3 linked regions of the Neurospora crassa OR74A genome follow. The protein of the gene in region 1 purifies or fractionates together with the protein of each later gene. This does not show direct contact. Links are inferred from orthologs where the notes say so. Each region holds a gene or a part of one and is shown in the gene's direction. Other genes may lie near its edges.

Region 1 (3,705 bases):
TTGCTCACGTCGATTTTCGGGGCGCTGGTGACTACGTGCGGCCACCACTCGAGCTTGTTGTGCTTTTCGAGATGGATCTCCAGGGCTTTTTGACCGGCGGGAGCGGGGGACAGCGTCCAAGTTGAATCGTCGAGGAGGATCGGGTGGGGGAGGTCGCCCTGGTTTTGTGGGAGGTGTCAGAATCGAGCTACTCGGCATGCGACATTGGGTGGTATGGTATAGGCGGCGTTGGAAAGTTGCAAGGGTTGTGATTTGTAGATATGTGGGCAAGTAGGTTGGTTACCTTGATGACGGGCTCTTGACCCTTAATACCAGCCGTAAGAGACTGCTTCTTTATCTCAACCACCATATCTTTGCCCTTTAGGTTACCAGGGACGAGGATGGTGATGTCGACGTCGCCAATCGTCTGAGTCCACTTGTAGGGGAGAGCCTCCTGCTCGGCTTGTTCCTTGGCGCGGGCAGCGGCCTCCTCGGCGGGGGTGAGCTCTGTTACGTCTGACATTGTTTGGTCAGTTGACTAGTGGGACCTGTTGATGGCGGATGGACTTTCTGGTCTTGGGAGCAAGAGGAGTTGAGCTCTAAAACGCACCTTTGTCAGCCATGTTGAAGGTGGTATTGTTGAATTCGGTGTAGATATTGGGCAACGACGGCAGCTTGGTGCAGTGGTGCAGTGGTGCAATGTGCGGTAATGTAAGTAGAAGACGATGGAACGCGCCTGAACGCGATGACCGAATTTCTGGAGGGGCAGGTAACCCGCATGGAACGGCTGCGGCCGCCCAATCCCAATCCTAGGAGCTGCCCGCGAGCGGCTGCTGTCACTGCCCTGGTAGCCCCTGCTCACCCCACGCTTGCCCGCGTCCAGTCCCCTGAGACAGAGCTGCCAGATGAGCGCGGCAGAGTGCCGTGCTGTGAATGATCTGGGAAGCCCCACCCTGCACCGCCAGGGTAGCGTCCATTGGAGCGCTGGCGCGGTTGGGGGCCAAGTGGAAACAAGGATTATTCAGCCCAAGCATAATAACTCTTATCAGTCCCTCTTTCACCACATCGTCAATCTCACTCGGGTTTCACCCAGACTTCCACTTGGTTGATTTTCATCACCTTCCCTATCCACCGTTGATACATGACTGCGTGACCCGGAATTTCTGCCTAGCCGAGCTGGCATTTTAGAACAACATTTCATCACCTAACAAGACGAGTACAAGTCCTCGTCGCCAAATCACGATCACCAAACAGATATAAAAGAAGATTTGGGCCGCGATCGCCACTCACTCACCGACACATCAAGAGACGTCCCGAGTTCTCAGATACGGACTACTGTCCCTTCGAAGGGAAACGCCCACTCCTCGCTATAATTCAGCATACATTTCTCTTGGCCATCATTTAACCTTTGGAAATCCCACTTCAGCACATCGATCCCCGTCTCCTCGAAGCGAAATTATCAAAACAACCCCCCCCCCCCCCCCCCCCCCCCCAAAAAAAAAAGAAACCACCCACCATGGCGCGCCCTCTCGACCCCCTCGGCTTCGAAGACGAAATGTGCCCCGTCTGCAAATCGCGCAAGTACCTCAACCCCGACATCGTCTTCGTCTTCAACCCCGAATGCTACCACTCCATGTGTCTCAACTGTGCCAACCGACTCTTCAACGACGGACCCAATCAATGTCCGCACGCCGGCTGCAACAAAACGCTCCGTCGCAAGGGCTTCCGCTCGGCTTTTTTCGGCGACTTGGCCGTCGAGCGCGAGGTCGACATCCGCCGTCGCGTGGCGGCGGTGTTCAACCAAGTCGAGGACGACTTTGAGACGCTCCAGGATTATAATAATTACTTGCAGATGGTGGAAGATTTGACGTTTGAACTTGTCAATGGGACGGATGAGAGGAGACGGCAGGCGGAGGCGCAATTGCAGGCATGGGAGGCGGAGCATAGGGCGGATATTGAACGGAATAAGAAGGCGGGGAGGGAGGCGGATGAGATTTCAAGAGTGAGGCTGGCAGCCGAAAGGGATGCTGTCAGGCAGAGGAGGATTGAGGCTATCAAGGAGGCGGAGGCGGAGAAAAGAGAGAGGGTGAGGAGTCGCGAAATGGAGCTGGATAACCTGGCCAAGGGAACCACTGCTATGACAGCGGAGCCGGCGACGAAGGTACAGCTAAAGAGGCGTGGGCAGGTGAATCGGGTTGCTGAAACAGCTTCCAACCCTGCCATCGCAACAACGGGAATGGGCACGGGCGCGTCGGAGGTTGAGCGTTTGTCCATCCGCGGCTTGAAGGAGAAGCCGAAGGCGCCGGCGCCACAGGGCCCGTACGACCCCTTTGGAGGCATGGACTTCGCGCCTAGTCGGTACAAGCTACATGGAGGCTTGAGTCACCCGCTTATGGAGAAGTACCGGTTGGACAGACAGCACGTTGCTGGTGGGTACAGCTTTGACGACTTTGCGGCGCGCGCCTTGTATGAAGCGTTTGCTGGGTTGGGTGTGTTTGTTGAGGATGAGAAGGAGGTCGGCAGTGGTATTGGGCTGTCACAAGAGACGAGCATGGCGGCGGGGATCGCCGCTGTGGTTGACGCGGATAAGATGGATTTGGACTGAGAGTGGTTCTGGACCGGTATGCCCCGGCCTTTTGGTTGGCGGTAATGGTGTTTTTGTTGCATAGCGACGGCGTTCACTCAGCGATTGAATATTTTTCTTTTTCCTCTCCGACGGATCTGGATTTAGGAACACACATGAGGCGGGACCAGCATCATATAGATCAACTTCAGACTCGGTGGTTTTAGAGGGCGCAAATATTCGGGTCTGCTGTGGATTTCTGGGTTCGAAATTCATTATGCGAATGGTCGCAGTCCAGCAGCCACATAAGACAGAACTTGGCGAACTGCAGTACATTCACTACTCTTTGCCACCCATCAAGCCATCTGTCTACTTGTAAGGAGTATCAAGGTCACTGAAGACCACGTTTTGTGTGAGGGATTGGGACGACGATGATGATGGAGAAAAGAAGAAGAAAAAGAAATTCAGACTAATAAGAGTGCGTCGATTGATCACAAAAATGCCCAAAAAAATATATAGATTAAGATTTACCAAACAAAAAGAGCCTCCAGGCTTCCCTACTGCAAAAATGTGTATGCCTCCCTTGCTGGCCATTCCTGGAGAGAGTGTTGGCAGCCAATCCTGAAAGTTTTGATGGTATGACCATTTATCATACCATACCTCTTTCACTCCTTTATCTCGAGATGCCCGGACCCCATTCCACCGTTTTTATGTAGCGTTCCATTCCAACTATTCTTCCCCCCTCCCCCTTGCGCTGCGCTGCTAAGCCTTGTATCTGGCCCTGCTCGTTAAGAAGCACTCGACGGCGGAAAAAAAAGCCTGATCTCTTCACAGTCAATCCTTGACTGCCTTATTGCCACCCATTTCGAAGGTACGAGCATCAAACCGCCCTGCTTACCCGAACATTGGCTGTCCTTTCGGTAGACTAAGGAGGGGCACCGTCAGAAGACTCGCGGCAACAATACCGAAAGATCAGGATTGCCGAATCGAATAACGAAGGCGGGTGAGAAAAAAGAGCTGAGCTCAAAAAATACAAAATAAAAGAAAATAAAACAAAAAGCAAAAGGAACGCCGCGCTAGATGCGTGACTTGCCGGTTCGTGTCATCCCGAACAAACCAGACAAGCCATAAGGAAGACAAGAGAATGACAGAAATGCGGGGCA
Region 2 (4,079 bases), on another chromosome or scaffold:
GTCCAGGTTGACTCTCATGACTTTTACTCCACATCATCCTCGGCAATCACAGCTCCCTCCGGAGGCGTGAAGAGCTCAGTCCCATTTTGGGACTTCCAGGCGTTGGCGACATACTTTGTATGACTACCACGGGCACATAGCTCGCCCTTTTGGTTGCGGAAAGTGACGGTGGTGTAGGCAAGAGTCTTGCCCACTGTTTGGTTGTTGATGATGAAGGTTAGTCATGTCAATAATTCATGTTGCTGATGCAAAGGGGCAGGAAGAAAGACTTACTCTTGTCACACACAGCGGTCCCGGAAATCTTCTCGCCGACTTTCCCACCGCTACTAAGGTAGGTAACTGAGTTTTTTCATATACATTTTAGTATTGTGTGTTTGCGGAAAGCAGCACATAACTGGGCTGGAGTTCTTTTGTCCGAGTAGGCATGAATCAATCTCATGGAAGGAAGGAAACATACCGTTCAGATCCGTCGACACACCGGTGGCGTAGAGTCCTTTCGAGGCTACAGCCAGAGAACCACCAAGGTCAACCATGCTGGCGATGGTCCCGCCGTGGATGATCTTTAGACGGTTGGTGTGGTCTTTGGTGATGTCGAGTTCAAAGTCGACCTTGCCTTCGGTGGCACCGGTTACCCGGAGCTAGTTTGGTCATATCAGTTACATGTTCGTTGTATCCATGGAATTTTGTGGTGTCTTTTGCCTACATGAGGTCCGAGGAGTCTGTAAAATTTGGTCAGTCTCATGTCTTGATCTCTTCTTGACAGACCATGGTGATGTGTCATCACTTACCTCGGCTCAAGGCCGGACTCGGCCATGAACGACTTCAGGACCTAACATGCTGTAAGCAACCGAGTCAATGCAGCTGTGAAATGAGTTCCTGAACTAACCGATCTCACGAATCTCGCTGGTGGAAGCTTGGGTGCCATTTTTTTGTTGCTGTTGACCTCGAAATAGGAGACGATGTAAGAGGGATACACGAGGTGTGCTTCAGATGCGGTGTCTGGACTACCTCTAGGTGGACTTGGGGACGGAACACTGCTGTGAATGCCGGAAATCACCACCCGGGACAGGCGCTGTTACAGTGGCTTTAGAAGCAGACTGGCCGACCCGGGAGACGGTAGACAAATGCCGGACAGTGGAACGGTGACGTCGTAACAGGGACTGGTAGTGCCTGCCACGAGGGTCCGAAGTCCCCACTTATGCTTGGTGACCACCTGCAAGGGCACCACGGGGCAGGCAACCTATCCTCGCGCGCGTACAACGCAATGATCATCAACAGCCTTCAAGGTCTTCTTTTGCACCTTATGCCTTTCACCCACAAGTGCCACCGGCTACACCATTATCGCTCGATTCCCTGGGTACCTACCGAATAAACATATACTCGATTCATCATAAATCACACTTCCGTCGATATAACACTTTCCACCTAGAAGTTGGTTTTGGTCCCCATATCTGCCAGCAGAAGTCAACCAGTAGCATTACATCGTGATCCTCTCGACGAGCCATCTGGACTTGACGACATTCGAAGCACTACGTTTACCGAATATTCGACTTGACCTTTCACATTGCCATTCACATAGCGATAACGAATCTCTATTAGCGGCCCGCTGTGCCCGCCCGTCTATCCACCATGTCACTCGGCGGACAACAGCTCCTCGAGTACTTGGAGAAGCTGCCAGGTACAGCTTTTAGGAGACTGTACCAGTCACCAGCGACAGCTTTGGCCATCTTCCGCCGTATGCTGTCTTATCATGGTATGCAATTGTTCCTCGAGTCAGATACCGAAGTCTTGGACGCCGAATCTATAGCATGTAGCTAACTCCTTTGTCCCTCGATAGCCAAGGTTATTGTCCGAGGTCTACTGTACATGCCCGACCCATTCCCGTTAACCTCCCTTGACATATGGTTCCCTCCAGAGGGCGGCGGAAAGATACATCGCGATCGCACCATTGCCGCTCTCCGATCCCTCCACATCCTACAGGTCTCACCACCAAGCAAGGACCGAACCCAAGAAATCCAAATCACGGCGAGCTTCAAGAAAGGCCTACAACTAGCCTTCGAAGGGGGCGGCGAAGATGGCAGCTTTGGCGTCCCTAGTTCTCTTCCCGTCGATCCCTCCATCGACATCGCCTACCTGGACAGGTACGCTCGTAAGAAGTGGGACGACATCCTCCACTACGTTGTCAACAGTCTTGGGGTCCACGGCAGCTCAGAAGGGGTCAGCGGACCCAAGGCCAGTGTGAAGGAACTACTCTTGGCCGGACGCCTCGTCGAACGACGTCCAGACACCCGTACAGGAATCGGAATTACGCAAGCCGGTTTCACCTTCCTTCTCCAGGAGTCCAACGCCCAAGTATGGACGCTCCTCCTCCTCTGGCTCGAAGCAGCCGACCACACGGCCGACTCGGGCATGGACAGCATTGACATGCTCTCCTTCCTCTTCATGCTCAGCTCGCTTGAGCTTGGAACTGCCTACGATACTTCGGCCCTGACCGAGACGCGGCGGAATATGCTTCCCTCGCTCGTCGACTTCGGGCTCATCTACTTCCCGCGCGACACGCGCCAGTTTTTCCCTACCCGCCTGGCCACCACACTGACCAGTACCGCCTCGGCCCTGCGCACCGTCTCCTCGGCTTTCACGGCCGCAACCGCCAACCCCTCGGGCGAGCCCGGCACCACGACCAGCACCAGCGGCGGCCCCGCCGCCACCCCCGACAAAACACAGACAGCAGCCAAGGGCATCATCATCGAGACCAACTATCGTATCTACGCCTACACCACCTCCCCGCTACAAATCGCCGTCCTGGCTCTCTTCTGCCAGCTCAACATGCGTTTCCCCAACATGGTCTCGGGCCGCCTAACCCGCGACTCCATCCGCCAAGCAATCGGCTTCGGCATCACCGCCGACCAAATCATTTCCTACCTACACGCGCATGCTCATCAACAAATGGTGCGCGAAGCCACGGTCACGGGTAAACCGGTGCTTCCCCCGACGGTGGTGGACCAGATCAGGCTTTGGCAGCTGGAGAACGAAAGGATGCAGACCACGGCGGGCTTCTTGTTCAAGGACTTTGAGAGCACGGAGGAGTACGCGGCGCTGAGCAGGTATGCGGAGGAGATTGGCGTACTAGTGTGGAAGAATGATAAGAGGCAGCTCTTTTTTGCCAGCAAGCATGAGCAGTTGAGGGATTATTTGAAGAGTCGGAAGAAGGGGGAGTAAGAGGGGCAGGTTTGTAAGAGAGGGTGGTTTGGATTCGGGGGTGGTTCAGTATGGTTGGAATGAACCCAAGTACCTAGGTACCTCTTGTGGGTGGATGCAATGGGTAGGCGATGGGGTCTTGCATCGTAAAACTTTTACATCTGTGGGCAGGGCAGGATCAACATTTGCATTGAAAAAAGGAGTTCTGGCTTGGGTGGGTGGTTTGGCATCACGCAATTACTAGCTTATACTGTAGACAGGAGTTGGGGGTAAGAAAGGGCCATGTTCAAAATACGAGGTAATGGTCGCCTCGAAATAGGGATGACCTCTTACAAAACAAAGAACTCGATTTCATATGATCATACACATGCAAACCTCTTTTTGACATTCGATTGAGAACAACGCTTCAAGTCATCGGGAGACGTACTATACGAGACCGAAGAGATTGGAAAAAGGGTGCTCGAACAAAATCAGCCTGCTCACTGTGCTACACATCTTTGTGATATACACCTCTTGATACGCCATCCTAGCTGACAGGGCTCAATGACAGGAGTATTGGCGAGGGACTGATCATACTCGGCGGCAATTGCACCTGTACCGAAACTCAAAGTTTGATCATTGAAAGAAATGTCAATACAAGACTAACTACCATTTATTTGCGTTACCATTATGAGGTTCAAGGCATCAATGAATGCCAGAACTGCCCTCTACAACGCCGGACCTTTGCCTCTTACCCTGGGTATGTGAAGCGGTAAGATGAGGTCGGAAACCGAGAAAATACTCTATAGAGAAGTCCGACCATGCCTGTTACCATGAATATCTAGAGCGAAATGACTATGCTCTTGTTCTGTAGTCTCTTCCATCACTCCAAAAGGAGGCCG
Region 3 (3,988 bases), on another chromosome or scaffold:
GAAAGACAGGATTCCTCGGGGATCCACCACGGACGTGGTCGGCGCGGTAACTGAGATCGACCGCGCGGATATAGGTGGATGCGCGGTTGTCGAACTATTGTTTCTAGGAAAAGCAGTAGGGTTCAGAGACTTCACATCACAGGGTTCGTATGTTTGTGCCGAGCCTCCATTAACGCCGGTCCAGGGGTGACTCCATCGAGCTTCGGCACCGCGGCACCGTCATGTTGGACTATTGATTTATAGTTTCCTCCGGTGCGTCGGCATCTTGCTCGAGATGACCACCGGGAAGACTGTTTGTCATATTGCCGTTACTGGTCGAAACAAGCCAGCGTCCACTTTGTCCATAGAGAGACGACCGCATGAGTTCCACCTGGGCTCGGCATATTCATGAAGAACTAAGTTGCCGTCGTTCTGGAAGGTAAATTATTGTCTCGGAAGACAAGTTCGCTTTTCTGTTCTTTGATCTGGAAGAGCTACCGGGGTTATAATGTCGCCGGCCTTGAAAGATTCCTGTGTCTACTATGTATGAGTGAAGGGTGTTATAAGATCGGGAACTTGAACAACTTACCATAGGGGAATATTCGGTGGTGGTTACAGTGCTAGAGGTAGATAATCGGGAGTAATCAAGGCAGTTACATATTGCGAGAGCATGGAAAGAACAATGTCTTAAATTGAGCTTCAGTTTTGTCTATTCCTTACCTACCTGGCTGCCCCTTCCTTAGATACTTGTACTTCTCTTCCTCAAAACCTCACAATACCTATCGATGATAGTCTTGGCCATAGGCTTCCAACGTAAAGCTGTCGTCACCGGGGTAACCCCTAAGCCAATAAGAGCCCGACTACAGACCAAGGACACCTTGAATTGCACAGCCGGTGACTTTAAGCCACTCTCGGTTGACAGTCTTGCGCCATCCTTCTAAAGGAGATCCTCGTACGATATGTGAATAAACCGAAAAGGGAACATGTGATGGTGTGGATGGATCAAAGGAAAAAGATGACCTCGCTGTTGGTGTCAAAAGTTATGCACGCTTGCGTGTTCATCACCCGGCTGTTTTGGTGGTAATGCTGGGGTCGTTGAACTAGAATCGGACACAGCAGGAAGAGAAGAATAAGATGAGAGATGAAGGACATGTTCGGATGAAGGTGATATCATTGTACATAGAGGAGCTAGGATATCTTGACCAATAGGAAAGCGAGAACTGGACTACATCTGTATGTTTAACTGCATGTTAGTGCTCTAACTGCATATCTTTTGACCACTAAGGAAAATGCCGGCAATCTGCCTTATCGGGTATCACGTGGTAGCGTGTGCACTTGGACCAGGATCCTTTGGCCTTCACTTGGATCGCGTTTCGCTTGCAACCCCGAAATCGTTATCGCATTTCTCCGTTACGTTATCGCATCTGCAGTGTTCTCGACGAGAAGGTCTTCTTGGGCGCGTCAATCCTATTCAGCAGACATAACCAATCCAGACAACAACTATAACGAATATCACACAACAGAGCGCCCGCTTAGCTATCCTGCCATCTCTCGATCCAGCATCCAGACAAGCTCCCTACGAGCACCGGCGCACTGAGTATCGCGGCGACAAAAGGCCTACGTCATGTACACCAACTGGCTTCGATCCACGATATAGCTCTACAACACACACAACCTTGAAGCGAGTTGAGGCTGTCCCTGCCAGATCATCGTCAAGATGACGGTCCAGGACGCCGTCGACGCCTCCGAACACTACGAAATCTACAACACCGATGATATCCCCTCCCTTTATACCATAATCATCGACACCAACCCACGCGCCTGGGCCGCCCTGAACGATGTCCTCCCACTCACGAAAGCGCTCGCCAACATTCTAATATTTGTCAACTCCCACTTAGCCTTCAATAACTCCAACCAAGTAGCTCTCATAGCATCACACACGAACCGGGCAGTATGGCTCTACCCAACAGCACCCGACCAGAACCCCGGCCGACACCCGCAAAATCCAAACGAAGACATCGAAATGCGCGACGCCTCCTTCACAAGTAAACAACAATCTCCACCGCCCGCAAACAAATACCCCCTCTTCGCCCAAATCGAGCGCTCCCTCCTCTCCTCCCTGCGATCTCTCATAACCGACACCACAACCGAGGACATCACCTCTACAACCACCACCCAGATTTCCGGCGCCTTGACCCTCGCCCTCGCGCACATCAACAAAACCGCCCTCCTCTTCGCCCCCTCCAACTCCGCCACCGGCCCAACCCCCTCCTCCGCAGGCGGCAAGTCCTCCGTCTCCACAACCTCCGGCGCCGGCCCAGGCGGCGGCAACGCAGCCTCCCTCCCTGGCATCGGCGGTGGCGGCCTGGCAGGCCTGCACGCCCGCATCCTGGTGGTCAGCGTAAGCGACAGCTCCCCCTCGCAGTACATCCCTACCATGAATGCTGTGTTCGCGGCGGCGCACGCGCGCATTGCCATCGACACGCTGGCGCTGCGGGGTAGTGCAACGTTCTTGCAGCAGGCGAGCTATATTACGCGCGGCACGTTTATACGGGCGCAGGAGCCGAGGGGACTATTGCAGTACTTGATGTTTGGGTTTGGAAGCGGGAGCGCGCCACAGGGGTTGGCGGCGGCAGGGAACCAGCGGTCTCAGCAGCAGCATGGGGGACATAAGGGGAAAGAGGACAAGGCGAGCGAGAAGGCCCTTGGCGCCGCGGCCAAGGGAGGGGCCAAGCATGGAGGCCAGAAGTTTCTGGGGAGTAATGCTAGCGTGGCGGATCTGTTGGTCACCCCTAGTGCGGACTCGGTGGATTTCCGGGCGGCGTGTTTCTGTCATCGGAACGTGATTGATACGGGGTTTGTGTGCAGTATCTGCTTGAGCATTTTTTGCGAGGTGCCCGAGGGTGGGGAGTGTTTGACATGCGGCACCAAGTTAGCGTTGGGGAATTACGGGAGGAAGTTACCTGTGCTGCCTTCAAAGGCTGCTGCTCCTCCTGGAGGGGGGCAGGCGAATGGGAAAGGGACGATGCTGAAATAAGTCTTCAGCGAGGTATGGAATAGAGTGAAGAGGTAACTGATGGTGGATGATTCTTTTGTCCTGGGCCGGGGAACCAGGCAGTCAAGAGGCTGATTAGAGACTAGGGAGTGGTAAAGCCCACAAGATTGCTCGTGGGATGTCTACCGAAAGCGGACAAAAGGCTTGGAAAACTACATATACACATAGAGTCTGACATGCAGTGCTAATACCCATAAAACAGCTTTTATTGCGAATATCACTTTACTGGACATGGATTCCCACTATAGGATTCAGCCATCGATACCTGTTATTGGGGACATGTCTAGTCATTATCCATCGTTACATCATGCTCCCCCGACTCGCGTTCAACGTCCACCGTCCATTCATAACTCATCATCAGACTCAGTCTCACTCCCCTCATCTACTACAGCAGCAGGCTGAGACGCTCTCGTAGCCGTCGCCCCGGCCCTCTTAGTATGGGAAATGGGCGTTAGCGTCTCCTTTCCCTTTCCCTTTCCTACAACAGAAGCCGTCGTCTTTTTCTGAGGGGTTGTCGTCGCTGTCGAGGATGCCGCAGCCGTGCGTTGTCGTCTAGCAGGCGGCGGTGAAGGAGGCGGCGGCACATCAAGATCCTTGTCCCCTGCTTCTACAGTCCCATCATCCTCCTCATCGGGCTCACTGGCTGTTTCGTCATCGTCGTCGCGGTCTGGGGTGTTGCGGTCAGATGTCTTATTGAGGACCTCATCTTCGTCCTCGTCGTTATCAGTGACGTCCTCGTGATCGAGGGTTTTGCTAGAAGATGATTGTCCCATGGTGGTCGTCTTTGATGATGGTTCCGGCTCTGATTCTGGCTCAGGTTCCGGCTCGTCGACATCCATCTTTTCGAATTTTGCGTGGTCGTTGTCGTCGTCTCCATCATCGTCTGATGATGGTACGTCCTTTGCAGCCTTTCGTTTTCCTGGTCTGGAGACACGGGCGGTTCTTGTGTTTGTC

What was found.
Region 2: the proteins of NCU02587 (region 1) and NCU05523 purify together in Saccharomyces cerevisiae (affinity purification with western blotting; 4 studies listed by BioGRID, with this or other methods). This does not show direct contact. The link is inferred for Neurospora crassa OR74A from reciprocal best matches to the Saccharomyces cerevisiae genes TFB3 and TFB2.
Region 3: the proteins of NCU02587 (region 1) and NCU01580 purify together in Saccharomyces cerevisiae (affinity purification with western blotting; 5 studies listed by BioGRID, with this or other methods). This does not show direct contact. The link is inferred for Neurospora crassa OR74A from reciprocal best matches to the Saccharomyces cerevisiae genes TFB3 and TFB4.

What each region holds. Positions count from the first base shown.
Region 1 is NC_026501.1:2,825,095-2,828,799, reverse strand, and holds NCU02587 (RNA polymerase II transcription factor B subunit 3), read left to right. Parts: upstream 1-1,495; coding exon 1,496-2,584; 3' UTR 2,585-3,106; downstream 3,107-3,705. Other genes in the region: NCU02588 (nuclear movement protein nudC, variant 1), read right to left, coding at 1-158, 284-495, 590-602. UniProt on the Saccharomyces cerevisiae protein: Acts as a component of the general transcription and DNA repair factor IIH (TFIIH or factor B), which is essential for both basal and activated transcription, and is involved in nucleotide excision repair (NER) of damaged DNA.
Region 2 is NC_026506.1:1,624,959-1,629,037, reverse strand, and holds NCU05523 (transcription factor tfb2), read left to right. Parts: upstream 1-1,281; 5' UTR 1,282-1,629; coding exon 1,630-1,753; intron 1,754-1,837; coding exon 1,838-3,219; 3' UTR 3,220-3,553; downstream 3,554-4,079. Other genes in the region: NCU05522 (PaaI thioesterase), read right to left, coding at 24-193, 274-339, 458-638, 704-719, 789-829, 887-925. UniProt on the Saccharomyces cerevisiae protein: Component of the general transcription and DNA repair factor IIH (TFIIH) core complex, which is involved in general and transcription-coupled nucleotide excision repair (NER) of damaged DNA and, when complexed to TFIIK, in RNA transcription by RNA polymerase II.
Region 3 is NC_026502.1:3,029,883-3,033,870, reverse strand, and holds NCU01580 (transcription factor TFIIH subunit Tfb4), read left to right. Parts: upstream 1-1,377; 5' UTR 1,378-1,696; coding exon 1,697-3,016; 3' UTR 3,017-3,378; downstream 3,379-3,988. Other genes in the region: NCU01581 (hypothetical protein), read right to left, coding at 3,379-3,988. UniProt on the Saccharomyces cerevisiae protein: Component of the general transcription and DNA repair factor IIH (TFIIH) core complex, which is involved in general and transcription-coupled nucleotide excision repair (NER) of damaged DNA and, when complexed to TFIIK, in RNA transcription by RNA polymerase II.